Regions from separate parts of the Mus musculus genome. Here regions 1, 2 and 3 are each reported to be linked to region 4. The links are microRNA targets in miRTarBase. Many come from high-throughput screens and were not tested one by one. Region 4 holds a microRNA gene; each other region holds the end of a gene's coding sequence.

Region 1 (7,119 bases), not on the chromosome of region 4:
AGGTAGGAGGTTTGGAAGTTCAAGGTCATCTTCAGCTACATAATGAGATAATGAGTGTGAGGCCAGTCTGGGCTACATGAGATCCTGTCTCAAAAATGAATGAATGAATGAATGAATGAATGAACAAATAATCTTCCCAACTCACTTGTACAAGCTATTGCTTCAGTTGATACACAGCAGACAATAGGACCCTGAGGACCTCAAATAACTGGCCCTTGCCTCTTTAGAGGTCTAGGCTAGCTTTTTGGCTTCCTCTTAGATATCTTGTCTTAGCAATAGATAACTCGCCACCAGGCCACCCTCTACTTCCTGCACTGTGACATGGCAAGAGGAAAGAGCTATACCCTCATCTAAAGCTAGGTTTCCCCTGAACCTGGATCATTCATGGGTTTAATGTTTTAAGACAGGAGCCTATCTGATTAGTCAGAAGTTGGGCCGTGTTCATGAGTGGGCAGAACCCCCATTTGAAAGGTAAGAAATGTGAAGTTGCCGCCTCTCTTTTTCATATGATACTGCTGACAAGGCAGGCTGGGCCTTGGTTCTAGTTCCTTATTGAAGGAACTTTGGGGTTATAGCTTCTTAGACTAGAGAGGGAAAAAAATGTTAGACACTGGAGCCTTGACTCAAACTGCTGATACCAGTGGCATTTATCCACCACTGTTGTTGACAGAAGTTTTGTGCCCTTTCAGAGAACTAATATATAAACTGAGGCTGGAGAGATGGCTCAGCGGATACGAGAGCCATACCACTCTTGTAAGGACCTGAGTTCAAGTCCCAGCACCTATATCATGCAGCTCATGGTTGATACTTTGATATCTCTGTCCTCCTTGAATACATGCAGACACTTATATGCAAATAAATAATAATATTGAATATGTAAACTGGCACCCTTTATCCTATCTTTATTTGGTGGGGGGTTGTGAGTTCCTCTGGATAGCCCTGGCTGACCCAGGACTATCTGTGTAGACCAGGCTTCCCTTGAACTCAAGAATACTTCTGCCTCTGACTCTGAGCGCTTCAATTAAAGGTGTGCACTACCACTGCCTGGTTGTGCCCCATCTTTAAACACTGAGTCAGAAATCTGAAGAGACTCCTTGAATCCTGAACCTTAGACTCAATACCAACTTAAATTATTTATGTATGATGCATCTGGCTATGTAAATTAGAGGGCAGATGAGCACGATTTTCAGAGATACCTGAGAAAATGACCTCTGTTCAGTGAGGCCTGCTTGCCCTCACTTTCATCTATCTTGCTGTTCATCCATCCTGTTGCTGAGGCATTCCTTCACTGGTATTAGAACCTATTTCTTTGAGACTCCAATGAAGACAAAAAAGCAGCTTAGATGTCCAGGCTCGTGGATGAAACAACTATGTGATTCTTGGCCCTTTTATCAGGAGATAGTTAATGCTGGACTAGCCGGACCACAGCCTGTAAGGTACTAATGAAATATCATTTCTATACTTCTGTTCTCCAGAACCAAGAAAAAAAATATATTTCTGTTGTTTTAAAGGCATCTAGTCTGTGGTTAAGACTTATGTATTTCATCAGTACTGTTCCTCCAGGGAATCCTGACTAATACATGCCTAACCCTTGTCTGAATGAGCCAAGCATGCTTACTCATCGTAGTGACCTGCAGTATGCGGGTTTTATATAACACTGGCTAATGTGCCACCTCAGGTTCCATGTGTACCACCTGTGCATAGTCAGGCTACTCGTTGCATCTCAGCTGTGATGACCCCTTCCAGGTGGACTCCAGTTAGGCTGACTCCATGCAGAACTACTAGGCACTCCCATGCATGCACATTACAAGTGAGGTGGAGGTGGCTAATGTCCTCCTAGGCTCCCCCTTTAGTTTGGGGAACCAGGAACCAGGAGATAACTCTTGACTCCTCCCCCCTCTGGAAGAGGGTCTTGAGAGAGGTGTTCTGCAGTCTCTTCACGAGGAGGCACGTGCTCCTGTGTAGCTTCAAATCCTTCCTCCTTGCCTTGGTCCTCTTGCTCGCTCTCTTTCCTGCCTCCCCTTACTGAAGTGGTAGCTTGTGAACATCAACCTGTTTAGCATCTGCCCCCCCCCCCCCAACACTGAGCTGCTCATTTTGTTTGGAATCCCTGACACTGAGTACAGTTTCTGATTTTTGTCATGAGCCAGTCCTCTCTTATTCTTCTCTGTAAGATGAATCATACTGGACAATGCTCTTCTTGAATCTTCTGTGCATTATTTTTGGCCTTGGTATCATCCTACTTAAGCTCTGTGGCTAGCCCGGCTCACTACCTCCTTCAAAGAGGTTGCTCTTTTAGCCTGGTGTGCAGCATTCAAAACAGCAAAAGCAGATGCAGTCAAAGTCTTCTCTGCGTTGTGCAAAAAGGCGAGAACCACTGCTCTGGATTATCTTGGGCTTCTGTATTATCGCATGCCTCAGAAAACAGAGTAGAAGATGGACTTCACATGTTCCCAGAAGGCAGCTGTAGCCTGCAGTGTTGGCTTTGAACTGCAGAGATGTGGTCACAAATCCAGGTGGCTGGCAGCAACCAAAGCTAGAGGAGGCACAAAACAAACTCCCCCAAAGATTGTGGATTCTTGGATTCAGCTTTGATGCTTGACCTTCGTTTTTGACTCAGTAAGACGGATTCGAGACTTCTGTACTCCAGAGCTATGAAAAAAATATATTTCTGCTGTTTTAAAGACATCTGATCTGTGTGATTAATTACAGAAGCCATAGGAAAATTTTTGAATGCAGGTTCCTCTTTAAAAGGGGCTTCTGATCTGGAGGTTGAGGACAGAGGGCTAGTTTAAGGCTAGCTTGGTCTATATAGTGAGTTCCAGGCTAGCCTGAACCACACTGAAACCCTGCCAACAGGGCTGGAGAGATGGCTCAGCAGTTAAGAGCACTGACTGCTCTTCCGAAGGTCCTGAGTTCAAATCCCAGCAACCACATGGTGGCTCACAACTATCCATAATGAGATCTGATGCCCTCTTCTGGTGTGTCTGAAGGCAGCTACAGTGTACTTACATATAATAATAAATAAATCTCTGGCTGGAGTGAGCAGGGCTGGAGTGAGCAGGGCTGGAGTGAGAAGAGGTCCTGAATCAAAATTCCCAGCAACCACATGATGGCTCACAACCATCAGTATAGCTACAGTGTACTCATATACATTACATAAATAAATAAATAAATAAATCCTTAAGGAAAGAAAAGAAAAGAAACTCTGTCAACAAAAGCAAACCAAAAGAGGTCCTCAGGGATCGTCACCCTGAGCCCTTCATGAATAGTTGGCTTTATTTCACCATCTTCCTACTTCAACCTGTTAGTAAGCCATGACCAGCTCAGTCTGTCTTCTTCTGCTTTATTTTATTTTATTTTATTTTATTTTATTTTATTTTATTTTATGTGTGTTGATGTTTTGCCTATATGTATGGCTATATATTACATTCTCTGGTGCCTATAGAGGCCAGTAGAGAATCTCTGATCCTGTAGAAATGGAGTTACAGTCAGTTGTAGGATACCACATAGGTACTGAGAATTGAACCTGGGTATTCTGGAAGAGAAAGAAGTGTTCCTGACCACTGAGCTATCTCTCCAAACTGTGTCCTTTAAAAAATATTTACAAAATTTTATGTGCGTGTGTGTGTGTGTGTGTGTGTGTGTGTGTGTATACGTGTGCGCGCCTGAATGAGGCTATGTGCACTATATGCATGCAAATGTCCATGGAGGATAAAGGGTATTGGATCCTCTGGAACTAGAGTTCCAGGGGGTTGTGAACCGTCTGATGTGAGCGTTGGAAACTGAACCTGGGTCCTCCGCAAGAGTAGTGAGTGTTCTTAACCACTAAGCTACTTCTCCAGCCCCTCAGACTGTGTTTTTATGATATTTTCTTCTAAAAGGTTTGTGTGTGTGTGTGTGTGTGTGTGTGTGTGTGTGTGTGTGTGTGTTTATGTGTTGAAAAGTCACAGCACAACTGTGGAGGTCAGAGGACAACTTGTAGGAGTTGATTCTCTCCTTCTACCATGTGGCTTCTGGGGCTAGAACTCAAGTGGTCAGAAATGGTGACTCCTTTTGTGGTGTTGCTTTAGACCCAAAGTCTGCATCCTTTAAAGGTATGTATCTAAAAGTGCTCAGACGCTTATTCCTTAAGCAGAGCTAGGTTGTTTCCTGCCATCACGAGTGAGAGCTTGTTTTCCAGAAGAGAAGGTTACAAGACCTAGCTGACCCCTTATGCCCTTCCCAGCCCTCCCCTCCTCTAAACTGTCTATCCAACACATGGATGTTTTATAAAATGTGTCCACAGCATACCCAGCACTGACTTGTGTATGGCATTGTTAAAGATGTAGATCCCATGACTCTTCTAAAACTTGGATGGGTCACTTTGAACATGTGCGGCAGGAGAGAGCACAGCATCTCAGGAGAACGTATGGAAGAGTCTAAGGTGAGCCAGCAGTCCATCCCTCCACGCTCAGCAGTGGAACTGGAGCCTGGGTTAGGGGCTGAGCTTATTAGGAGGCCTGGCCCCCACTGCTGGATGCTTGCAATAAGTGCCAAGTCTAGATCACAGAAGAACCAACAGTCCTGTCGTCTCGGGCAATCCATGGTGCAAAACAGCTGCAAAGGTGTCAGGGAGTCAGACTGCGCATATTTTTGAAACACTGTTAGGCAATTCATAGCAATTTCTCCCCCTTCCCCATGATACAGGTGGAGTCTTACTGTGTAGCCCAGACTGGCTTCAAACTTTTGGTCCTCCTGTCTCCATCTCTCAAGTCCTGGGATTTCAGGTGACTATCAAGCCTGGTCATGGTATTTGATTGACTTTTTAATTAAAAAGCATTTCTCCAAACAGTAACAGCTTACAAATGTACATCCCCAGTCACCCTGTAATTCTCCTTCTGAGAATTTATCTTCAGGTATCCTTCACGACTGTGCACACAAACACAGTGACTCTTTGCAGAAGCGGCTGTAATAGCAAAATATCAGAATGAAGCTAAATGCCGTCCTCGTGAGGCTGAGTATATAAATTAAGGCACATTCAGACATAGAGACATAAGGAGGAAACTGTGTAAGCATCTTCATGGAAATGCTTCTATGGCAGATTAAGGGAGAAGAGCGGGATGTAGTGCATTGTAAACAGAGCTGCATTTGCAGATGGGAGGGGTCTGTAAAGAGGTGGCTGATGTTTGCATGAGAAGTGGTTGCCCCTGTGATGGGGGACGGACACCAAACAGATGAGAAACAGGGAGAAGGGGGTTTCTATACTCTGTGGCTTGGGAACCATGTGAGTGTAGTTAGTATACATTACAAAATAAATAAAACAGGGGAGGGTGCTGGAGAGATGGCTCAGCAGTTAGGAGCACTGACTGTTCTTCCAGAGATCCTGAGTTCAATTCCCAGCAACCACATGGTGGCTCACAACCATCTGTAATGGGATCCGATGCCCTCTTCTGGTGATGCTATTTTCTGTCTGAAAATAGCTACAGTATATGTATATATATATAATTCTTTAAAAATAATAAAAAATAAAACAATAAAATTAAAAAGAAGTGTTTATTTTGGCCCCTTAGAATAAGAAATCTCGTTTTGATTCTCCACATTTGGTTGTCTTGGTGTCACCTGATCATCCTGGTGCCTGTGGACTCTTCAGGTTGGGCACACGTGGAAGCCATAGTCATACCTAGTATCTGGCTAGACATGCCATTTCAGACCGGAATGTGATTTCCAGCGTCCAAGGCTGTGGTGGGAAGACCAGTCTTGGGTTTTCTTATTGGTAGAAGCAACTTCCAAAGGTTCTGAGGCTTGGGTCCCCCATCTCCACAGCGGCTTCTAGAAAGGTGGGGTCCAGCGAGGTCCTAGTAGGGAGGCATCAACTGCTCCCGGCTCAGGAAGGAGGAGTGGTGGTAACGATCTCGGGTGGCGAAGTCTGCATTGTCCTGGGTAAGCTGAGTCATTGCCATGTCAACCTTGGCTGGTGATGGCGCCAAGATGATTTGCTCCTGGGCGGACCTCAGGCTCCTTTGGGGGAGACATAGGATGGGGAGAGGGGAAGAACAGGTGGAGATGAATTATGGGAGCCAGTCCACCCCATGGAGATACTGTCCACCCCATGGAGATACTGTCCACCCCATGGAGATACTGTCCACCCCATGGAGATACTGTCCACCCCATGGAGATACTGTCCACCCCATGGAGATACTGTCCACCCCATGGAGATACTGTGCAAACACCAGCTGCACTAACATTTATGTCTTTAAATACTTAAAAGATAATTGTTGGGAACTACAACAGCCTATGAACTCAAAGTAGGAGATACAGTATCAAGTGAAGACGGTAATATTGACCATTGTTAAGTGAAACACTGTAAAACTATACCTTCTAATAAGGGATGCCCACCCTAAAGACAGTTTTGTGAGAGTTCTGTAACTTTTCTTTGTTCTTATCAAATGAGACAATGGCAGGACTAAACTACAGACTGGAGAGGAATGGAAAGAGAAACTGCTTGGCTTCATTAGAAAGAAAGTTGAGGTGTCCCTACACCAACCCTGCATACTACAAAACCACCCTTCTAGGCAAAATATGCCTGTGGCTGCAATAGTAGCAGGAAAGGTTATGGGGTTAACAACTGTTTTTTGATTGGATTTCAGGCCTACTCCACAGAAAAGAATTAAGACTTGGTACCATAATCCTGATCAAAAGTAATGGCTCAGGAGGTTATGGGCCCAGCGAGGAACTCATTACTGTTGTTTTGCTAAAGAACGTATTGTCAAGCTGCCTTCTAAATGATTATTGCTTATACACATAGATTAGCGCTGCCCTCAACCTTAGCCAGAGAAGCTTCTGTCTGGAGTGCGCAGCAGTTAATACAGAGACAAAACCAGTCAGAGCGCTGAGAATAAGTGTCTATTGAGCGTTCAGCCCCACACGAGACATCCACATCCACCCCTGTCACCAAGGCTGAGGGAACTTAAGGAAGAGGGGCAGAAAGGAGAAGCAGAGAACAGGGAAGACTACGAAATGCTGTCCTCTGGAGACGGAATGGCCACTGCTCGTGGTTTATGAGCTCATTGTACATATGATTATTCACATACAATCAAGTCAGCAAGAGCAATCAAGATTCCAACAGGCAGCGCTAAC
Region 2 (7,119 bases), not on the chromosome of region 4:
CATTTAGAAAGTGCTTCAAGAAGCAATGTCACTCAAAACTAGGAGGTTTTAGCATTTTTTTTTCTTTTTTAAACATTTCTTTATTTTGTGTATACACATGCATTGTGGTAGGGCAGAATAACTAGTACTGGGTATTGAGCTCAGATCATACTTGGAAGTAAAAGCACCTCTACTCACTGAGACATCCTACTGGTCCCAAAGATAGTAGTTTTGAGCCCTAGTGTGTGTGTGTGTGTGTGTGTGTGTGTGTGTGTGTGTGTGTGTATACATCTGTGTGTCTCTATATGTTATTTTGTTGTAGTTTGGTTTTCTTTGTTGTTGGTTTGGTTTGGTTTTTTTAAACTTTAAGGTTTAAAATGCTAGAAGTGGGCCTTACAAAAACCATCCTAACAGAGCTCTCAGCCCCAGGCATGCCCTCCTCTTCCTCCATCTGTCATTGCTTTTGCTATAAGAAATATAGCAAAAGTGTCACTGGCCTGAAAATAAGAGTCTTACAATTTGCTGTTGTTTCCCAGGTTTCACAAATGATCAGCGCCCACAACACTGATAGCCTGCTAGCAATAAAAGGACTGTAACTCAATCAAAGCAAGATTTGAACTAGTGAGAGACAGCGCATTCAAGACTGGAGAGGCCCTTGCCCTTGCTCAAGCTGCCTGCTTTGAACTGCTGCAAGCTCTGTGTGTGGTCTGGGGTCTCACAGGGAAGGCCCCAGAACCCAAGCTCACTCACAGAGTGGCTGAAGAACCAAGAACTCCCACACCACCATGTACTCTTCTTGGACTGGGCCTTGGACAGTGGCCTTCCAGCCACTGTCTTTGTCAGTTGCTTGGTATGACAGCCTTATTGACTCTTTGGCCTTTCATGGAAAAGAGCTAGCCGGGACCCTGGAGAAGACTGCAAATCCTCACACAGAGAAGCCACCTCATGAATAAAGTTTTCTGCAAACAGTTTCAGGGCTCTCAGCAGCCATCTTACTCTCTCAGGCCTTGCCGTGGGTTTGGGAGGCTGTTGGCTCAGGAGACAGACTTCTACTTCATCTCCTAGTAGGAAGTTTCTAAGCTTCACTTCTTCTCTCTCGTGGCTTATATATTTCTTCTCTCACTCTCTGCCCTTTTAATGAAAATGTTTTGGCTATAAAAATAAAGTCCTGCCGGGCGTGGTGGTGCATGCCTTTAATCCCAGCACTCGGGAGGCAGAGGCAGGCGGATCTCTGAGTTCGAGGCCAGCCTGGTCTACAGAGTGAGTTCCAGGACAGCCAAGGCTACACAGAGAAACCCTGTCTCAAAACAAACAAACAAACAAAAAAAAACAAAAAACAAAAACAAAAAACAAAAAACAAAATAAAGTCCTATGTTAAAGACCTCAGACAAGCTAGGAGTGGCAAGGGCTGGGAATATAGGACTCCAGCCTAAATAAATGCACAAGGTCCTGCGTTCAGTCACCACATGGGGTGGGGGTGGGGAGAAAGGAGGGGTGAGTTCATTTTGTGTGTTTTCATCTTACATCTAAAACTCTCATTTGGCCACATTCATTGTGCCCATAACTTGAATTGTGGATGAAGAGATTAGGAAATACCTAGGACTCCCAAAGCCAGGCCATGCTGCTGTGATGCACATGAGCATGCGCGCGCGCGCGCGCACACACACACACACACACACACACACACAGAGTTCCAAATGCTTTCACCTACAGTGATACTAGAAGCCCTTTCAATAGAAAAGAACAGGTGTTTGTTCTAGCCGTTGGAGAACCTTGAAGTCTGTCTTTTAGGGGGGAGGGGATAGTTATGGCTTGCCTAAAACTCAATACATAAATAAGACTAACCTCAAACTTAAAGAAATCTGCCTGCCTCTGGATCCCAGGCACTGGGATTAAAGGTGTGAGCCCCACACTTGGTAATTTAAAAAATATCTGTATGCACATGCAGATTAATATGTGTGGTGTGTGTGTGTGTGAAAGAGAGAGAACAACTTCTAGAAGTTGGTTCTTTCCTTTCTCTTTGATTCCAGGCATAGACTCAGGTCATGAGACTTGTGTCTTTACCTGATGAGGCATCTTACCAGCTGACACTGGCCAACTCCTCTTTTCTTCTTCTTCTTCTTCTTCTTCTTCTTCTTCTTCTTCTTCTTCTTCTTCTTCTTCTTCTTCTTCTTCTTCTTCTTCTTCTTCTTCTTCTTCTCTTCTTCCTCTTCTTCTTCTTCTTCTTCTTCTTCTTCTTCTTCTTCTTCTTCTTCTTCTTCTTCTTCTTCTTCTCCTCCTCCTCCTCCTCCTCCTCCTCCTCCTCCTCCTCCTCCTTCTTCTTCTTCTTCTTCTTCTCCTTCTTCCTCTCCCCCTCCCCCTCCCCCCTCCCCTCCCCCTCCCCCTCCCCCTCTCCTCTGTTTTAAAGAACTTTCATCCTCATTGGGGTAATGTCTTTTGTTTTTGTCTTTTGTAATAAGATAAGGGGGAAAGACCAGGCACACACCATATGCTGCTGACAATCACAGAGAGGAACTTTTGGTAGGTCGCAGGTTTTGCAGATTCGAGACATAAGAACCTATCACCCCATCCCCACATGTCCCTCCCTATTCCTGTTCCAGCCCTTGTTCCCGAAGGTTAAGCCTCAGGACTCCTGAATGAAGAAAGCCTTGTACCAAAGCAAAAGTGTAAAACCACAGTTGTTGTCCGTAAATTTGCAACTGCTGAGCTGGAGTCAGAGTGGAGAGGAAGAATCCTACATTTTAAAATGTCCCTCCATTTGTCTTCACTGGGCTCTAGCAGCCTATGACCAGCAAGGCAAAAACCATTACACCTGGCCTGTGCATTCACAGAAGCAATGTGCCATGGTCATCTGCCTGCTCTTCAAGGTCAGATCAGAGAAGCGTGAGGGAAAACTGGGATGTGTTCTGAGGTCTCTGACAGTCACAGAAGGAAATATACCTCCAGAGGAAGGGCATCACAGCCTGTTCCCGCATCTGAGCTGCAACAGAGGCAGAACTGGGTGAGGTGGATAGGAGTCAGACAGCGTAGCTGCAGCAGGTCCTCCAGTGAAGCAAATGCTTTCTGCAAATGACAGGCCACATCTCAAGACTGATGGGAAAATAGCAAAGGATCAAGATGGCCTCTTGCTCTAGTCACTCTGTAAATGGTAAGGCTGAAACCTGGGCTGCAATGCACCCTCTGTCCCCTGAAGGCTCATACCCTGTCCACAGCGGAAGGAAGGAAGAACACACCTCACCTCAGGGTTGCTCGTCCCACCTCAGATTGTGAAATTTGAGCATCTCCCTGCTTCTGTCTCAGCAATTATATTTTCTTGCTTATAGTTCCGTGGGGGCTGGACTGGCAGGAGTGGACTGGCTGTGTGCTATGAAGCCAGCAGCTGCTCAGATGGCACAGCTGGATCAAAGTTGGCTGCCAAGGGACGGGGGCTGTGGTGAGGAGGTCTAGACTTGGCACCTGACTACTTTACAGAAGAGGGAACTGAGCAGTCACTACTGCATACAGTCACTACTGCATAAAGGTCTTTAGTATATACATCATGTCTGGCCTGGCCTTCACTTTAAATAGGCTACTTGCCAAACACAAAAACACATTGAATTATTCTTGTGGTTCGGCTTGGTGGCGTAAAATTGGAAACACTCAAAGGCTTAACAAGAAAATAACTTCAAAACCCTGGGTTCAACATCCAGCATGGTTAAAAAAAAAAAAAAAGGTAGCATTGATGAGAAACTAGGTAGATAAATTGTGGTACAGCTTTATAAGTAAGTTTATGCCGCTATTAAGAAATGTATTAGGGCCACATGTGAGACTTTGTCTCAAAGTGTGTGTGTGTGTGTGTGTGTGTGTGTGTGTGCACGTGTGTGTGTGTGTGTAAGAAAATACTTAAGAAAAAGAAAATATCAGCCCATTGTTCTACAAATCGGATTTTTTCCTAGCAATCTACCAAGGCCTGCAAGCATATGATATATATGCATATAAAGGGGCCTATAAGTGTTCACTCCGAGAGAGAACTCTTAAAAACTGCGATAGATGAGGATGCTGGAGTGTCCCCTCCACAGTGGATGTCTTCTAGCAGGGATTCCAGAGGACACGCATTCAGCTCCAACTAGGGGGCAGCCACTGAGGGTCTGACCCTGCCCCACTGAGTAAATATATAGTCAACAAAAACTGGACTTTTGTTTTATTTTGTTTGGGTCTGCCTGCCTGCCTGCCTGTCTGTCCATCTGTCTGCTGGGGGATGTAACAAGCGTGGGGTCAGGAAAGGGAAGGACAGTGTAAGATGCAAGACTCAATATGAATGTTGTGTTGAAAAAGAAAGAATTTACTTCAAGAACATAGCTCAGTGGTTCAGAACACTGGCTGCTCTTCCGGAGGACCCAGGTTCAATTCCCAGCATATCAATCCATAGCGTTCCAGGCGATCCAATGCCCTCTTCTGGCTTCCACAAACACCAGGTGTGCAAGTGGTTCACAGACATTCATGTAGACAAAAGACCATATACATAAAAATAACTTTAAAAAAGAATTTACTTTCAGTTGTTCCTGGCAGCAATGTTGGAGACTTTCCATTTCTGCTTTGAAAACCATAATGGGGGGGTGTAAGTGGGGAGGTTCAGATGGTAAATCCCTTACTTAAGTGACATGCACAAAACTCACGAACCCAGGGTGGTGGTGCTTGCCTGTGATCACAGCAGTCAAGAGATAGAAGAAGCAGGAGGATCAGAAGTTTAAGGTCATCTTTGGCTACACAATAAATTTGAGACCTCATCTCAAAATAAATGAAAATAAAGTCCCAAGCAAAGAACATTGCAGAAATGAGTAAAATTAGTATTTGAGCAGCTGGTTGTGTGGATCTGTGCGTAAAAAGTTTCTTTTACAATATCTAAAATACAAGTAATTCTTCCACAAATGTAGCATGAAAAATATTGTAGTATGTCTGAGGCCACAACGCAGGAGGCCCTTTGCTTGTATCCTAAATGGTTACGGATGTACGACATAATCCCCGTTAGCTGGGTTCTGGAATATTGGTAGTGTCTGCCTCTCTGCCCTGCGGTGGTCTAGATTGACAATGCCAAGTAGAAGGTTCTAGAAACAGCACTTTTGTCCTTGGCCTCCTTCAGAGAAGAGCAGCTGCAGGTGTGCTGCCCCCAGGTCCACCCGCAGGAGGAGAGGGGGCTCCGATACCAGCCCTCTCTCTCCTCCTTACTCAACCCCAACCACAGCAGCCCCTCTGCGCCGATAGGAAGTGGGCGGCTTGTTTTCAGAAAGAGATTCCCCAGCTTTTGTGGGCTGCGAAGCAGCTCCGAATCTACCACCTAGTCAAAGAGAAAGAGAGAAAGAGCCCCGGGTTCACAGCCCTGGGTTCTCTGGGTGGTAAAGGACAAAGAGATTTCCTCTGTTTTTTCTTGGGAAACCTCCTCAGCTCCTCTATGACACTCTTCAGGACTTGAGTCACTGCTTTCTGAAATCACCCATACCAGTTTATGCACTCAGATCGGGACCCGTGGTCTCGAGATCGGGGCTGCATGGCCGTATGCTGACACCTCTGGTTTGGGGAGGTGGCTGTTGTTTTGTTGTTGTTTTAGGGAGGTTGCTGCTGTGTTTGCTTTTGTTTTTTGTTGTTGTTTTGCTTGTTGTCCTTTTGAGACTGGGTCTCCTGTAGTCCTGGATAACTTGCTATGTTGTCTTGAATGTCATTGAACTGCTGATGGTTCCATCCACCATCCTCCATCCTTCATCCTCCATCCATCCTCCATCCTCTATCCTCCATCCTCCATCCACCATCCTCCATCCTCCATCTACTGTCCTCCACCCTCTACCCTCTATCCTCCACCTTCCAAGTGCTGTCTAAAGGAGCATGGCACCATGCCTGACAGTTTTGGTTTGAGACAGCCTGTTCCTTGTGGGGGGACCGAGCCCTCCTCCTAGGGGATCTTGGTACTAGTTAAAATATACTAGTTAAATATACTAGTTAAAATATACTTCTTTGGGTCACCTTCCTGCCCAGGTTTCCCAATGCATGGATCAGTGGTACAACATGGGCAAGGCAGAGCCTTCAGGGCCCTAGGGCACATGACCTTCCTCACAGGCACTTAGCAAAAAGACTTCTCCGTGTCCTTTCATCAGTCCAAGCTACAGCCTGCAGGAACCCACTGGCTTTTTTCCCTGTTAACATGTTCATATGGATGGTGTCCCTAAGTCTTAATGTAGGAGACTAAGAAAGAAACCAAGTAAAATGCCATATTGAAGTCTTCAGGATCCCAAGCGAGTGAGCCAGAGCTTGTCCCTCCTGCGGCTCCCCACCCATGTGCCCTGTGAGCTCACCAAGGCCATCAGGTACTTGGGAATGCTCAGTCTACCCAGAATAGGTGACACAAGCTTAGCGGTCACAGAAAGAACACACGCCCAACCATGTAGCTGTCAGTGAGCACGTGTATCCCAGCCCTGAGCTGACATTCATGGACAACTCAAGGCCAGCACTTGCATGACTCTGAGAACAACCTGCCCCAATGGCCCACTGGCTACTCCTTAGTCTCAGCCCTGGACAAATGGACAGAAAAATTCTGGGATGGTATGACCTGAGGCAGAGGCAAAAATTGGCTTTGAGAAGTCTTAACAGTCTCTCACAGGAGATTTCATGAAGGTCTCTGGGGTTGGGTGGGGATAAAGATAAGAGGGGAAGAATTGAGCTGGTGTGGGTTAGGGGTGGAGGCCCACCTTCCCCAACACTCCCCTCCCCAGCACCTCCAGCATCCTGTAAGCCACAAGCTACGGGCTACACAAGGCCAGGCTCAAGGCAGGCCATGACCCCTGTGCTCCACCCTCTCTTACCACAGGCTTCTGCCACCCTCAGGGTACACAATGGGAAACTCGACCATCACAAAGCTCTAACTGTCTTCAAGCTTGAGCAAGAGAAGGGGAGTCCAAGCTGACCCCTTCTTCATCTAGCACCCACCCCGAAGCCACACTGCTGCTTAAACTCAGACGTGCGGAAGTAGAATGGTTTCCGTAGGCAAGGAGGACTGACTAGAAGACCTTGTATGGGTTTTCCATCCCATATCCTGTGATCTACTTTGTGATATAGAGGCCAACAGAGACAAGAACAAAGGCTTGCTGGACTCAGGCAAGAGCCATGTTCTCC
Region 3 (7,119 bases), not on the chromosome of region 4:
CACCAAAACAGGTTGGAGAGGAAAGGGTTTATTTGAGCTTACAACTCCCTGATCACACTGTTCTATATCAATAAGGGAAGTCAGGCAGGAACTCAAGCAGGGCAGGAACCTGGAGGTGGGAACTGGAGCAGAGGCCATGGAGAAGCACTGCTTACAGGTTCACTTCTCATGGTTTTCTCTGCTTGCTTTGTTATAGCACCCAGGACCATCAACCAAGGGTGGTACCACTCAGAATGGGCTGGGCCCTCCCACGTCAGTCATTAAGCAAGAAAATGCACTCCAGACATCTGATGGAGGCATTTTCTCAGGTGTGATTTCCTCTTCCAAAATGACTCTAGCTTAATGTTAGGTTGATATAAAATCAGCCAGCACAGCAGACAGAGAAAGATCTGGCCTGAATTTAGGTAGTGGGGGAACTGGGCCGTGAAGGAGAAGAACAGAGAAGAGTGGGCACGCAGATTTGAGAGGACCCAGAGATGGACCGAAAGGCAAGGAGATGGAGAAGCTGTAAGATGTCTGAGGCTTGTGTTTTTATTTTTAAAAGATCTTGTTCTTTGTTTTGTTTGTTTTTCGAGACAGGGTTTCTCTGTGTAGCCCTGGCTGTCCTGGAACTCACTTTGTAGACCAGGCTGGCCTCAAACTCAGAAATCCACCTGCCTCTGCCTCCCGAGTGCTGGATGAAAGGCGTGCGCCACCATGCCCCACTGAGATTTTGTTCTTATTGTTGCTTTGTTCTGTTTTTGTTTTGTTTTTCGAAATCACACAGATCCACTTGCCTCTGCCTCCCGAGTGCTGGGACTAAAGGCATGTGCCACCTCCACCAGGCAAAAGTTTTTTTGTTTTTTATTTTTTGTTTTTGTTTTTTTGTTTGTTTTTCGAGACAGGGTTTCTCTGTGTAGCCCTGGCTGTCCTGGAACTCACTCTGTAGACCAGGCTGGCCTGGAACTCAGAAATCCACCTGCCTCTGCCTCCTGAGTGCTGGGATTAAAGGCGTGCACCACCACCGCCCTGCTTTTTTGTTTTTGTTTTTTTAAGATTTATTTATTTTATGTATGTGAGTACACTGTGGCTTTCTTCTGAGACACCACAAGAGGGCAACAGATCCCATTACAGATGGTTGTGAGCCACCGTGTGGTTGCTGGGAATTGAACCCAGGACCTCTGGAAGAGCAGTCAGTGCTCTTAACCACTGGGCTACCTCTCCTGACCTGAGTTCTGCCTCATTCCCCTGCTTGGTGTCATTTATTCAGGTGGGGATGTATGGAAAGCCATTCTGAGGTGGTACCACAGTCAGTGGCTTGTCCCTCTCTCATGCTGAGTTTTGATTTACAATGTGGCAGCACTAAGGTGATGAGGCCTGATGGGAAGTCCTTGAGTTGTGTGCATTGACTGAGACAACTTGTTTGTCAGTGTTGAGGATCAAGTGTTTGGCTGTTATCCCTGGATTGCCCAAGACTGGCATCTGCATCTGCATCTCCAGTCACAGGTCCCGGCTGAGAATGAAGGTCCATCTGTTCATCATATGGTGCTGCTGAGAGAATCCCAGACAACTGCCAGGGCATCCACAGAGAGCCCTGACACTCCTACCATTCTGGGGAAATAGACAGAACTAACTTTTCTGTTGTTATCACCGAATACCACAGCCTGAGTGATGAGGGTAAGTACATTAGGACTGTACTTACCCTGGGAGGTGGTGGTACGGGCCTTTAATCCCAGCAGAAGCAGGTGGATCTCAAGATCAGCCTGGTTTACAGAACTAGTTCTAGGACAGCCAGGGGACACACACACACAAAACCCTGTCTTAAAAAAAAAAAAGTCCAGGGGCTGGAGAGATGGCTCAGCAGGTAAGAGCACTGACTGCTCTTCCGAAGGTCCTGAGTTCAAATTCCAGCAACCACATGGTGGCTCACAACCATCCGTAGTGAGATCTGACTCCCTCTTCTGGAGTGTCTGGAGACGTGTACTTACATATAATAGTAAATAAATAAATCTTTTTTTAAAAATCCAAAAACATCATCCCTGCCATCATCCCTGCCACCTACATTTATGAGTATGAAAGCCCCCAATAAATGTGTAGCAGGTCACCCTGTCCTGAGAAGACCTACATCTGACATACTGCCACCACCCTGTTCTCCAGCCAAGATCATAAAAGGCAGATCAAGCTGTGGAGGTCAGTACGTAGCGGCCGGGCTCAGCCATCATCTCATTTGTAAGGAAGACCATGATTGTTTCTCCCATCTCCTGTTGTGGTTTTTTTTTGTGTGTGTGTGTGTGTTTTGAAAAAGGGTCTGGCGAGATGGCTCAGTGGTTAAGAGCGCCGACTGCTCTTCTGAAGGTCCTGAGTTCAAATCCCTGTTGTGGTGGCTCACAACCATCCGTAACGAAATCTGATGCTCTCTTCTGGAGTATCTGAGGACAGCTGCAGTGTACTTACATATAATAAATAAATAAATCTTTTTTTTTTTTTTTTTTTTTTTTTTTTTGGTTTTTTGAGACAGGGTTTCTCTGTGTAGTCCTGGCTGTCCTGGAACTCACTCTGTAGACCAGGCTGGCCTCGAACTCAGAAATTCGCCTGCCTCTGCCTCCCGAGTGCTGGGATTAAAGGCGTGCGCCACCACCGCCCGGCGTTTTTTTTCTTTTTTTAAAGATTTATTTATTATATGTAAGTACACTGTAGCTGTCTTCAGACACTCCAGAAGAGGGCATCAGATCTTGTTACAGATGGTTGTGAGCCACCATGTGGTTGCTGGGATTTGAACTCCATACCTTCGGAAGAGCAGTCGGGTGCTCTTACCCACTGAGCCATCTCACCAGCCCCAAATAAATAAATCTTAAAAAAAAAGAAAGTGGATGAGTAAAACCAAATGAATGTGACTTCTTAGGGTGGGCCTGAGGTTAAATACCTTAAAAAGAGAGAGAGAGAGTCTCAGGTACCAGAGTCTGGACTGGAACTCACTGTGCAGTCTAACATGACCTTGAACTCCTGATTCTTCTGCTTTCACGTCCTAGTTCTGGGATCCCAGGGCTGTGCTCCCCCACACCTGGTGGAGAAGTGGGGTCTGTGTTCTCCCCACTTAAGCCTGATGTCTGTATGACAACCTTCTGCTGTGCCTCTGTGTGACAGTGCGGTTCCCTTGCTGTTCTCCTTGTCCCTGCAGCCAGCTGGTGGGCATAAGGAGACCCAGGCGCCAGGAGTCCACCAGTGGCTGCTCTAGCCAACATCTCTAGTCAGTCCCGTGACGCCTATGACAGACCCTCAGAACAACCCAGCTTGACTCCTGAGACCTCCAGAGGAGGCCCTCTATGTGGGAGGCAGGGAATAGGGTGTCTTCATTGTGCTTTGACTGAATTCTTGACCCACAACTGCAAGAAGAGATGGCAAGGATCATAGTTTCTTCTTGTTTTGGTTTTAGTTTGGTTTTGTTTCTTCAAGACAGGGATTCTGGGCTGGAGAGAGGGCTCAGCAGTTAAGAACACTGACTGCTCTTCTGAAGGTCCTGAGTTCAAATCCCAGCAACCACATGGTGACTCAAAACCATTCATAATAAGATCTGACGCTCTCCTCTGGTGTGTCTGAAGACAGCTACAGTGTATTTACATATAATAATAAATAAATCTTAAAAAAGAACACATTTAAAAAAAAAAAAAAGAAAACACAAGACAGGGATTCTTTGCATAACCCTGGCTGCCCTGGAACTTGTTCTGTAGGCCAGCTTAGTCTCAAACTCACAGAGATATGCCTGCCTCTGCCTTCTGAGTACCGGGATTAAAGGTGTGCGCCATCACCACCTGATAATTAATAAAGGTTGTTGTTAATGGAAACGAAGGAGAAAATAGTGACTTAAATAAACTGTATTTTACTCCTTTGCATTGAAGTCTGGAAGTAGGCAACCAGGAGTGCTTTGGCAACCCCACTGAGGCAGTAGAGACCCAGGATCTTTTATCTTGATATTACTATTCTCTGCACATGGTTGCAATTTTCAAAGTTACCTCCAGATCCAAGATAACTGCTAGAGTTCCAGCTATCACATGTACATTCCAACATGAATACCGGATGAAGCAAAAGAAAACAAAAAACAATGGCTTTCTCCAACATTGTTTTTATCTTAAAAGACATCATTAGAAATCCCTTCTCAGGTTGGAGATATGGCTCAGTGGTTAAGAGCACTAACTGCTCTTCCAGTTGTCCTGAGTTCAATTTCCAGCAATCACATGGTGGCTCACAACCATTTTTAATGAGATCTGATGCCCTCTTCTGGTGTATCTGCATACAGCTTCAGTGTACTCAAAATATACATAAAATAAATAATACTTTAAAAAAATCCCTTCTCACTCCTTCTGACTATGTCTTAGAATTATGTCACACTATCCATGCAAGGGAGTGTAGAATGTTGCCTTTGGCTGGGGTCACTGCCATCTAGGATACAGTTGGATTTATACATTGAGGAAGAAAGAAGGTTCTGTGAGCACTTGGTAGCTATAGTATCAGAGGAGAAGGAAGGGCAGAGACCTCCCCCAGGAAGATTTCTTGGTATTTTGGGTACTGTAGGTTTTCTACTTCAGTTGTTTATTATATGGAGTCTCAGGTCTCCCAGGCTAATCTTGAACTCCAGACCTAGCTAAGGATGACCTTGAAATTCCAACCTCCTGCCTCTATCTTCTGAACACTGGGATGATAGACTCACATCACCACACTTGCTACTCATGTTATTGGAGCTGGAACCCTGGGCCACTTGCACGCTAGACAAGCACTCTACCCACTGAGCTAGACTTCCCTGCAGGCAGCTGGACGTTGTCTTCATGTAAAGCCTCAGCTTTCTTCTTTTTCAACTATTCACCATGGCTCCAGCTCCAACACAGACTCTGGTGTTTGTCCTAGAGCCATGGGTCTTGGCTTCTGTTTCCCCATGCTACTCAAAGCTCGGGAACTAATTATACTCCTGCTTCCCCGCAGCCTAGCACTCGTGTATAGTAGACATCGTGAGCAAACTCTGCATACAACATTGACACCTCACTCAGAAGAGTGAGGCCCTTCCTGTATTCTCTTTCTTTAGATTCCATTTTGGCTTGCCCATGTTTCAGCTTTCTTTCCCTCAACTTGCCCCAGACTGCTCAGTGGCCACAAATGGAACTGTATTTGGGTTACAAGCCATACCTTTCTCCCCACAGTGGGAAGCAGACATCACCCCTTAGTCCTCTGCATGCCCAGCAGGTTTGCAATTGCCACCAGGTTGGAAGAGGAGTCACCTGGGACAATGCATACTATGTAATCAAGTTCTGATACTGGGGTTGAGTGTAGTCAGCTACTCAGGCCATCTCAAAGCTGGGTCTCAGAGGCCCTGGGGGAGGCAGAAAGGCTCCCACCCTGTGTGTCTGAATACTAGACGCTACCTCTGGGTCTCCTCCCTGAGCCCACCATTACACCTGACTCTGTACTCAGTGGCCTTGGACCCATCACCCAGGAACACACGTGTGAAACCTCTCCCGTTTCATAACTTTATTTAATTTTCTCTGTCTCTTCCCTCCCCCGCCAGCCCCTGAGAGGGGGTGGAATCCCCAGTTGGAAGGGAAGGGACTAGTCTGTTCTCCCTAGGGAGGGATGGTGTCCCCTGGACAGGCTCCATGAATGGGAGAAGCAGGGGCCTTCAAGGCAACCAGGGCATCGTCCAAGAGGCTGTGGCCAAGGCAGAGCCCCTCGGATGCCCTGTAGTCCTGCATCCTGTGGATCACGCAGAAGGTGAAGAGCAGAGAAGCCCGGAGGGATGGTGGAGACAAGGTGCTGCGTGGCTGACAGAGGCAGATATGAATTTTAGGATGCTGGGGCTCAGAGTTGGAAAACCTGGGTCACAAGGAAAGCTGGATGTAATGAGGGTGCAGCAGGAACCAGGGAGACCAAGGTGGGGGCAGAGAGCAAGTCTGTGCTCTGAGAGCTGGGCGCTGTGGAGGGACTAACCACACCTTAGGGTCTAGGGATAATCAGGGCACTTGCCCGGAGCAGAGGCCAGAGGGCAGACAAAAAGAATGGAGCAGAGGAAGATGGAAACTCTGGTGGGCAGGGGACCAAGCTATGGGGTAGCCACAGCCAGCTGTTCAGCTTCAGGACAGCAATCCCAGCTGGCCATGGTCCCAGGCCACCAGTTTGTGCTTCTATGTTGCTGGAGGGCCCCACATGTAGCTCAGCGTGGCAGAGAGGCAGGCGGCCGTGCTCAGGTCTCTTCCCCATCCCAGTCTTTCTGGAAGCTTCTCTCCCTGCCCAGCATCATCTGCTATCACAGGGGAACATGGCGATGGTTGGGGGAGCCATGCTGGGGACAGATCACAGACTCAACTTAGATGGCATTTACTTCCTCCTCAGAGGACCATGTGTCACCGCATTTCAGTCTAAGGATCCCACTCCACTCCCACCCCTTGTGCGTGGCTGGTCTGTTTTCTTTCCTGTTTCCGACAGTTAATCAGACATCCAAGCCCGTGGTGAGATGGTGAGAAGAGAGGGGTGTTCTGGGACTGTAGGAGCGGGTACCTCAGAGTGCACCCTGCCCATCTCCCCGGCAGCCGCTGTCTCCGTGGACAATGAGCACCGGGAAGTAAAGGGCGTCCTCATAGCACGGAGGGCTTTCCAGAGGCTCCGTGTCCTCCCCTCTGCGTCCCAAGGGACCTCCACTTAAGCTTCGGAAGACCCCTGGGGTGGTTCGGCCCCCAGCACCTAGCGAGAGGCGGCTGCGACTGAAGGGTAGGCGAGGCCCGCTGGGGCGGGCAGGAGGCAGGGAGTTGCTGCTGACCGAGCGGCGGCAGCGTTGGCAGCCTCGCAGGTAGGCCCCAGAGCTGGCACCCATAACCACAGCCTCCGAGTAGCTGGGCACCAGCTGCCGGTTGGAGCAGATGTGCCACTCAAGCTCTGTGAAGTCCACGGTGGCCACGCGAGAGAGTGGTGGTCCGCTGGGCACAGCCCCTGGGGGCGGTGAGCTGGCACCGAAAAGCTTCTCCACTTGGTAGTGCACATGGGCTGTCCCATAGGCTGCCACCACTCGCAGTGGCCAGGACAGCGTGGCTGCAGACACCAGCCAGAAGACCCAGGCTCGGGCATACCAGGGTGGGCTGCGGGGGTCTGCAAAGACCATGA
Region 4 (7,119 bases):
CTTTCTCTATCTTCACAACATTTGTTGTCTTTTGCAGAAACGTTTTAGCTTTTGACATCTTGTTTCTGGATGTTGAACTCTGTCCTTTGAACAAAATAAATCAAGATGATGATGTATGGAGAAGCCGGGTGCTGGTTCTTCCCCAAGAGTGCCTTTAGGGACCACATATTAAGCACTTCAACTTAAACAGGGCAGCGGCAGTTTAATGAGACTTCAACCATAAGACAGACACTCAGGATTATAGAAATGGATAACGTAATAGTTAAACAATTATTGTGTGTGATCAGTTTCACATGAAGATTCCAAAGCTGTAAGAACATTTGGTGGCAACTTGTTAGTTAATAAATTATTTTGTATTTATTATGTGTAGATAATGCACCAAGTGTTATATGAATACATATCTCTGCTCAGAAGTCAGGAGAGAGGACAAGGTTATCTCAACACAGAGGAGGTGAGACTTACAACACTTGAGGATGGTTACTAAAAATCCCTTCTATGTAATTAGTTAAACTATGCATTTGGTTTGTCTATAGTTTATAGCATGTTTTCCAATAGAATATATAGTTTAATCCTAACCTCACCCTTACTGCGTGGTTATTTAGCCAGGTGCAAGCACTAGAAAGCCTGATCCACAGTCTTAAACAAAAGAGTAAGTTACAATCGTCTCAGCTTTAATTCCAGACGTGTGGGAGTCTCAGGACTGTTAATGAGCAGGTTGCGGGGCCTGTGGGTAATTCTTTCCACTCCGGCATCAATGGTATCAACTCTATCCAAGCTCACACTCCCTCATGTCAGAAGCAACTTGGGCAGCCCACCTCATTATTTATAACTAGCTTACAATAAGAAAAATCTCTCACTCGTGTGGAAGAAAAGGCCTCTCCTCGTTAAGTATTTTATCCCTGCCATGGAGCATAACCCACAGCAGCTTGGTGCTTCCTGGGCCTGTCACCGGCATGGAAGAGTGGGAATATGGCTGTTGGCCTAAGCAGACAGGATCTACTCATGGAGCAGAGAATGGAGTAGTTTTCACTAGGTCATCTGGGGTGTGTGCCAATGAATGAAAAAAGTTGGGACTTAGGGAAGAAGCAAGGGGAACAGATACTGGGGACATCCAATAGTGTTCACTCGGAGTACATCATGGTGCTAATTTACAAAGGATGGCAACTACCTAAGATGTCACTATTGGGTGGTGGCAGGGTGGAGAGTTCTAATTACAGGTCTGTTGCCCACTTTAGAGGTAGTTCCAGTCCAAGACAAGAAAGGAAACAGCATCATCTTCAGGTCTCCTCGTTTTATTCTTTCGTATTCTCTTTCTTCTACAGTGTAGGGACAAAAGGCCCTTAATGAAAGCCATCAGTCAGTGTCTAAGTTCCAAGATCTCTCGCATATTATTTATTTATTTTGGTACTTTGCTAATAACTATTGACAAAATTAAATTATTATTATTAGTGCATGCATATGCATGCTTGCATGTGTGTGTGTTCATGTAGGTCAGAGGACAACTTTCAGGAGTTGATTCTTTTCTTTCACTGGGATGCTGGAGTTGAGCTTAGGTTGTCAGGCTTCTGTGGCGAGCACTTCTACTGAAGGAGCCATCTCTTGGTCCAATTTTTTCTCTTTAAATCATGCCTGAAATGTATTTTTTTTTTTTTTTTTGCTTTATGGAAAATTTATTGCAACTCTCCAACACAGAATTATTTTTTCTTTTCAACATCTTGCTCTGCAGCTTCCTTCGCCCTTTTTGCTCGGATGCCAAAGAGTCGGGCATTGGCACGGGCCATTCGGAGACTGGCAAAAGCCTTAAAGTTCTTCTCTTCTTCTGTGATAACTCTGGCCTTTTCCTTTTTGTACACATTCCGGATGGGCATCACAGGTCCTGTCAGCTGGGTGGCCAGCTTAAGTTCTTCAGCAGAACTGTCTCCCTTCTTCGGAGCAGAAGGCTTCCTGGGGAACAGGATGAGCTTGGAGCGGTACTCCTTCAGGCGCTGCACGTTGGCCTGCAGTGACTCCGTGGACTTGTTTCGCCTCCTCGGGTCCACAGAGATGCCGATGGTGCGAGCCACTTTCTTGTGGATGCCAGCCACCCTGAGCTCCTCCAGGCTGAAGCCCCTGCCAGCCCGGACCTTGGTGTGGTATCTCACTGTAGGGCACCTCACGATGGGCCTGATGGGGCCGGACGCGGGGCGAGGGGCGATGCGACGCGCTTTCGCCTGCCGGGCCTTGCGCCTGCGGATCTTGCGCGCCGGCTGGTTGAACCAAGTGTCCACTCGCTGCTGCCAATCCTTGTGGAAGTGGGGCTTCAGTATCATGCCATTCCGGCTGGGCGCCATGGCTGCCTCCTATACAGGAGAACGGCCCTGAAATGTATTTTAACCAAAAGTTGTGGCACATGCCTGTACTTTCAGCACTTGGGAGGCTGAGGTAGCAGAATTCTAAGCCATCCTGCAAAGAAGATTTGGAGACCGCACAAGCTGTCTGGAAGAAGCAGAGGCCTGCCTAACTGACTGGTCACTTGGAGAGGACACTCCCCAGCCTGTTGAGCTGCTGTTGAGTGGCTTGCAGGCTGTGCAGTGTGTTTCAGGTTCCCAGCTTTGTGAGCTGTCACTTGTGCTGGCATGGGCTTTGCTGCCTTTGAGTCATTACTGCTTTTGTAAGTAACCCCTCCCTTGTATTGTGATTAATCCCAATAAAGATTGCAGTCTCCAAATTGGACTTTGGTCTGTCATAGGCCCCCTCTCTGGGGTGAATAGACATGATCTGCAATCCCCCAGGGAAAGTCTTGTCATATATGTTTTTATGTTTTATCTCCTGGAAGTTCCTGCCTTTCCCAGGACCAGTAGATATGCCAGCATGGGCTTGGCAGGCTGTTTCCATCTTTGTGCTGTTCAACCCTTTCAAATCCGAATGGCTAAAATGCACAGGTTTGATCTTGCTTAGTTCTCACGGGGCTTTCAGTCATAGTTAACTGTCCTTTGACTTCTGATACTAATAAGCCATAATCAAGCAGAGTGGTTATTCTCTAAACCAAATATACAAGACTAGAGCATTGCAGAAAGTGAGCCATTTTCCCCTTGTGTCTCCCCCTCTTTCCCTCTTCTATCCTTTCTGTTCCCTCCCTTTCCTTCTATGAGAGTCACGTGCTCGCCTGTAAGTGTTAGCAGTGGTTTGCCCCACCTAAATACCGAATCTCACCAGTGTGAATGTCAGCATTGTCTCTATCCATGACAACAACTTTGCCCAGGACTCCTGCAGGAATGATAGATTTATGTGGGATCACGAGCAGCGTCACCCCTAGAAATGAAGCCCAGTCTGGCTCTTTATAAGTACATCAATCACTTTAGGGAAGGTGAAAGTTTACCAGGCCCAATATTTCTCTTCTGCTTTGTTTTATCTTAATCCCACTTTGCTATTTTTTCCACCACACCCACAATCTTCCCTGAGTTATACCCCGACTCAGCTTTAACAAACCCTGCTAGGACCACTCTCTTCAGTAACTTGTTCCATATGTTGCGTACATGGGGTGTGTCAGGATCCCCGCCCCCTTCCAATTCCTCATCGTTGTACGGCATCCATCAGTGTTTGACACAGTGTAAGTAAAATGGAGACCTACTCTCCAGCTCCCATCTGGGTGGGACCTTTCTCTTTGGCAAGTTCAGTGTGGTCTATCATTTAAAGAGTCCTGTGGAGTTTTGGGAAGTTTTTCTAGTGCAGTGGGAAGCAGCCAGTCTGTCTTCACAGCACTGCCCTTTCCTCAGAAAGCCACATTCAGGCCAGCACCACCTGGGGAAGGAGAAAGTGCCAGTGCCATCCTTGTTGGAGTTCAAAGAATCTTTTAGTAGGCAGAGAATTTGTCTGTGACTTTCCCAGTCCTTTTCCTCTACAAAGTATGCTCAGATTTCAGCCATTTTAAAACCAAAGCGGTGATTTTTAAAAGTGTACTTTCTTGCTTCCTGGACTATCCCACTTATGTCTGCTCAGGTTCCTTCTCTGACCTTTACCCATATTTGATTGTGCCACAAGACACGCTCGCCATTCCAGCTCTCACTGATACTAATTTCAGCTTCCAGGTGGCTAGTGGGTCTTTGTGTTTGGGATATTTTCTCCCCTGGTCACTGTTAGGGGTTACCTTTTATAGTTCTGCTTACCTCCTTCTGCATCTCTCTGGAACAGGAGAGGCGGATCCCTCTTGGCCCGTTTGTCCTGAAGATACCATGCTTGCAGGTGCCAGGAGCGCTGCATCCGTGTACAGCGCCTGGCAGGGCTTCTGTGATGGGGAATTGCCCTTTGTTATTGTAGATTTGTGAGGCTGATCTTTCTACCATAGCTGTCAGGAACCTGCTTTCAGGAGTTGTTTGCCAGGACCTGGAACCCTGAGGATGTGGTCAGCTTGTAACGGCTACGCCAAGGATCACCAAGAGGAGAATGATGCGCGGTGAATTCTTTCCGCAATATAAACTTATTCCCGGCGTTATAAGTATGTTCTCTGAGAAATGTCTACACAAGCCCCTCAGGCCAATCTAGGCAGGCCCTTACGGTACTTTGTTTTTGTGTATACACGTTTTTGTGGGTGCCTGGTCGTGTGAGTGTGTGTGAAGGCCAGAGCTTAATGTTGATGCCTTTCTCAGCTGCTCTCCACCTTATATTTGGGACGGAATCTTCCACTGAGCTGGGAGCTCATTGGACTGGCTACAGTAGCTAGCCAGGAAGCTCCAGGAATCCTCCCATCTCTGCCTTCTCAGAACTGGGTTACAGGAGCCAGCTGCTGTGCCTGACTTTTGACATGAGGTCTGCGACGCCAGGCTTAACTCCTGTGTTTGCACAGCAAATGCCTTACCAACAGAACTTGAAAATTTAAGAGTGGCCAGTGGCCAGAAAAGCGCCCCTGATATTTTTTCTTTTTTTATTAAACTAATAGAATTTATTTTAAAACATACAACTCAGTATTGACACCTTCTTTAAGTCATCAAAAATAATTAATAATAGTTAAATGCCCCTTAAATATACATGGTATCTTCTGTAACTAAGAGTAATATGCACTCAACCGCGTTTTAAAAATCTGTTTGGAATATTGTCCTGGCTAATTTTGTGTCAACTTGACACAGCTGGAGTTATCACAGAGAAAGGAGCTTCAGTTGAGCCTCCATGAGATCCAACTGTAAGGCATTTCCTCAATTAGTGCTGTTATGCTGCTAGTGTATGCTCTGTCCAGTTTCTTTTTGGAGGTATTTAGAGCTATGAGTTTTCCTTTTACCACTGCTTTCATTGTGTCCCATAAGTTTTGGTATGTTGTACCTTAAATTAAATTCTAAAATCTTTAATTTCTTTCTTTCTTCCTTGACCAAGTTATCATTGAGTAGTTCAGCTTACATGTATATGTGGACTTTCTGTTGTTTTTGTTCCTGTTGAAGACCAGCCTTAGTCCATGGTGATCAGGTAGGACACATGGGATTATTTCAGTCTTCTTGTTGAGGCCTTTTTGTGACCGATTTCATGGTCAGTTTTGGAGAAGGTACCATGAGGTGCTGAGAAGAAGGTATATCCTTTTGTTTTAAGATGAAATGTTCAATACATATCTGTTAAATCCATTTGGTCCATAACTTCTGTTAGTTTCAATAGCATCCCTGAAATTTTAAGAGTTGCTGGTATATTTTGGAGGTCACTTCGTGTCACATATTTTGCAAGTATGTCTCCCATCCCTTTGCTTTTCTTTTCACTTTGTGCAGTCTCTCCTTTTCTGCTTATTTCTTTTCCATTGCTCTCTTCTCTCCATGCATTTCTTTCTCCTTTGTCTCCTTAGCTTTGTTTCTCCTGCTTGACTCCCCCCCCCCCCCTTCCTTACTTGTCTGCCATTTCTACCTTTGCCCTCACTAATTGCTACCTGCATAGCACATTCTACAATAGTTTTGGTCATTTTTGTGGGATTTTAGTCAGGTGAGGGCACTGCTCTTGCAGGACTGTAATGGATTTCAAGTGTATTTTTAAATCATGGATGCTGTTGTTGTTGCTAAAATGGGTTGTTTCTGCCATGTGGTGCAGTACTGTGGATTGAGGCTTCAAAAGTAGATCTTTCTCCAAATCCAGAGGAGAGAGCCAAACCAACAGGTGTGGAAGTTGAAACACAGAAATGCATGAAACAAAGCAAAACAAAAACAAAAAAATAAATGACAACCCTCTAACGCAAAGCATGAGACTCTTCCAAAGGACAATGAAGTGTGTAAAATGCCACAGAAAGATTTCAAGATGTTTTTTTCCCTCTCTGTTAAGAGAGATCAACGGTCTGAAAGAGGATATAATCCAATTCATACTGTAGAGGAGGAAATCTTCAAAAGTATGTGAAAAAGTCAGGAAGATGGAAAGAAATTGAGATCTGTTAAAAAGAAAACAAGCAGAAATATTGGGAATGAAAACTCAGTGAATAAGGTAAAAGACAGCGGGCTGCATCATGAGTAGACTCGGCCAAGCAGAAAAGAATATCAGCAATAGAGAACAAGGCTGCTGAAAGAACACACCAAATATCAGTAAAGATTAAAAAAAAAAGGCCCAGAAAATACAGAAATGGATGCTCACAGTCATCTATAGGATGGAACACAGGGCTCCCAATGGAGGAGCTAGAGAAAGTACCCAAGGAGCTGAAGGGGTCTGCAACCCGATAGGTGGAACAACAATATGAACTAACCAGAACCCCCAGAGCTCATGTCTCTAGCTGCATATGTGGGAGAAGATGTCCTAGTTGGCCATCATTGGGAAGAGAGGCCCCTTGGTATTGCAAACTTTATATGCCCCAGTACAGGGGAACCCCAGGGCCAAAAAGGGGGAGTGGGTGGGTAGGGGAGCAGGGTGGGGGGAGGGTATAGGGAACTTTCGGGATAGCATTTGAAATGTAAATAAAGAAAATATCTAATAATAATAATAATAATAATAAAGGCCCATGTGTCCTTGTTTCATTTCCTGTTGTTGTGATGAAATACTCAAGAATTTTAGGGAAAACTATTTATTTGGCATCTGTGTAGTGGTGAAGTCACAGTGGCAGGAGTTTGAAGCAGTTAGGAGAGGAACAAATGCCTGCCTCTACTCAGTTCCCTTCTCTGTGTATGCAGTGCAGGGTTCTGGTCAGGGAAT

The links. The annotated mature microRNA mmu-miR-3471 reads UGAGAUCCAACUGUAAGGCAUU and lies in region 4 at 5,144-5,165, shown strand. An mRNA with a match to its seed (bases 2 to 7 or 8) in the 3' UTR can be bound and repressed. Matches are read on the target gene's strand: a 7mer-m8 pairs with bases 2 to 8, a 7mer-A1 pairs with bases 2 to 7 and ends in A, and an 8mer does both.
Region 1: miRTarBase lists Slc12a8 as a target of mmu-miR-3471. Seed matches in the 3' UTR shown: 7mer-m8 at 5,360-5,366.
Region 2: the mRNA of Cd8b1 is a reported target of mmu-miR-3471. Seed matches in the 3' UTR shown: 7mer-m8 at 1,205-1,211.
Region 3: the mRNA of Tmem151a is a reported target of mmu-miR-3471. Seed matches in the 3' UTR shown: 7mer-A1 at 4,236-4,242.

Annotation. Positions count from the first base shown.
Region 1 is chr16:33,661,806-33,668,924 of GRCm38, reverse strand. It overlaps Slc12a8 (solute carrier family 12 (potassium/chloride transporters), member 8), which reads right to left. Exons shown (of 13, transcript NM_134251.3): 13 at 4,787-6,000. The coding sequence ends at 5,838. Among named protein-coding and RNA genes, the nearest start is that of Heg1, 19 kb to the left of the region's middle.
Region 2 is chr6:71,336,195-71,343,313 of GRCm38, forward strand. It overlaps Cd8b1 (CD8 antigen, beta chain 1), which reads left to right. Exons shown (of 6, transcript NM_009858.3): 6 at 516-1,298. The coding sequence ends at 528. Among named protein-coding and RNA genes, the nearest start is that of Cd8b1, 17 kb to the left of the region's middle. RefSeq lists enhancers at 1-1,859, 1,575-1,859, 1,854-6,239, 6,440-6,936.
Region 3 is chr19:5,075,250-5,082,368 of GRCm38, forward strand. It overlaps Tmem151a (transmembrane protein 151A), which reads right to left. Exons shown (of 2, transcript NM_001001885.2): 2 at 4,084-7,119. The coding sequence ends at 6,521. Among named protein-coding and RNA genes, the nearest start is that of Tmem151a, 6.7 kb to the right of the region's middle.
Region 4 is chr4:10,843,631-10,850,749 of GRCm38, reverse strand. Mir3471-1 (microRNA 3471-1) reads left to right here and starts at 5,120; the gene lies at 5,120-5,250. It also overlaps the pseudogene Gm12918.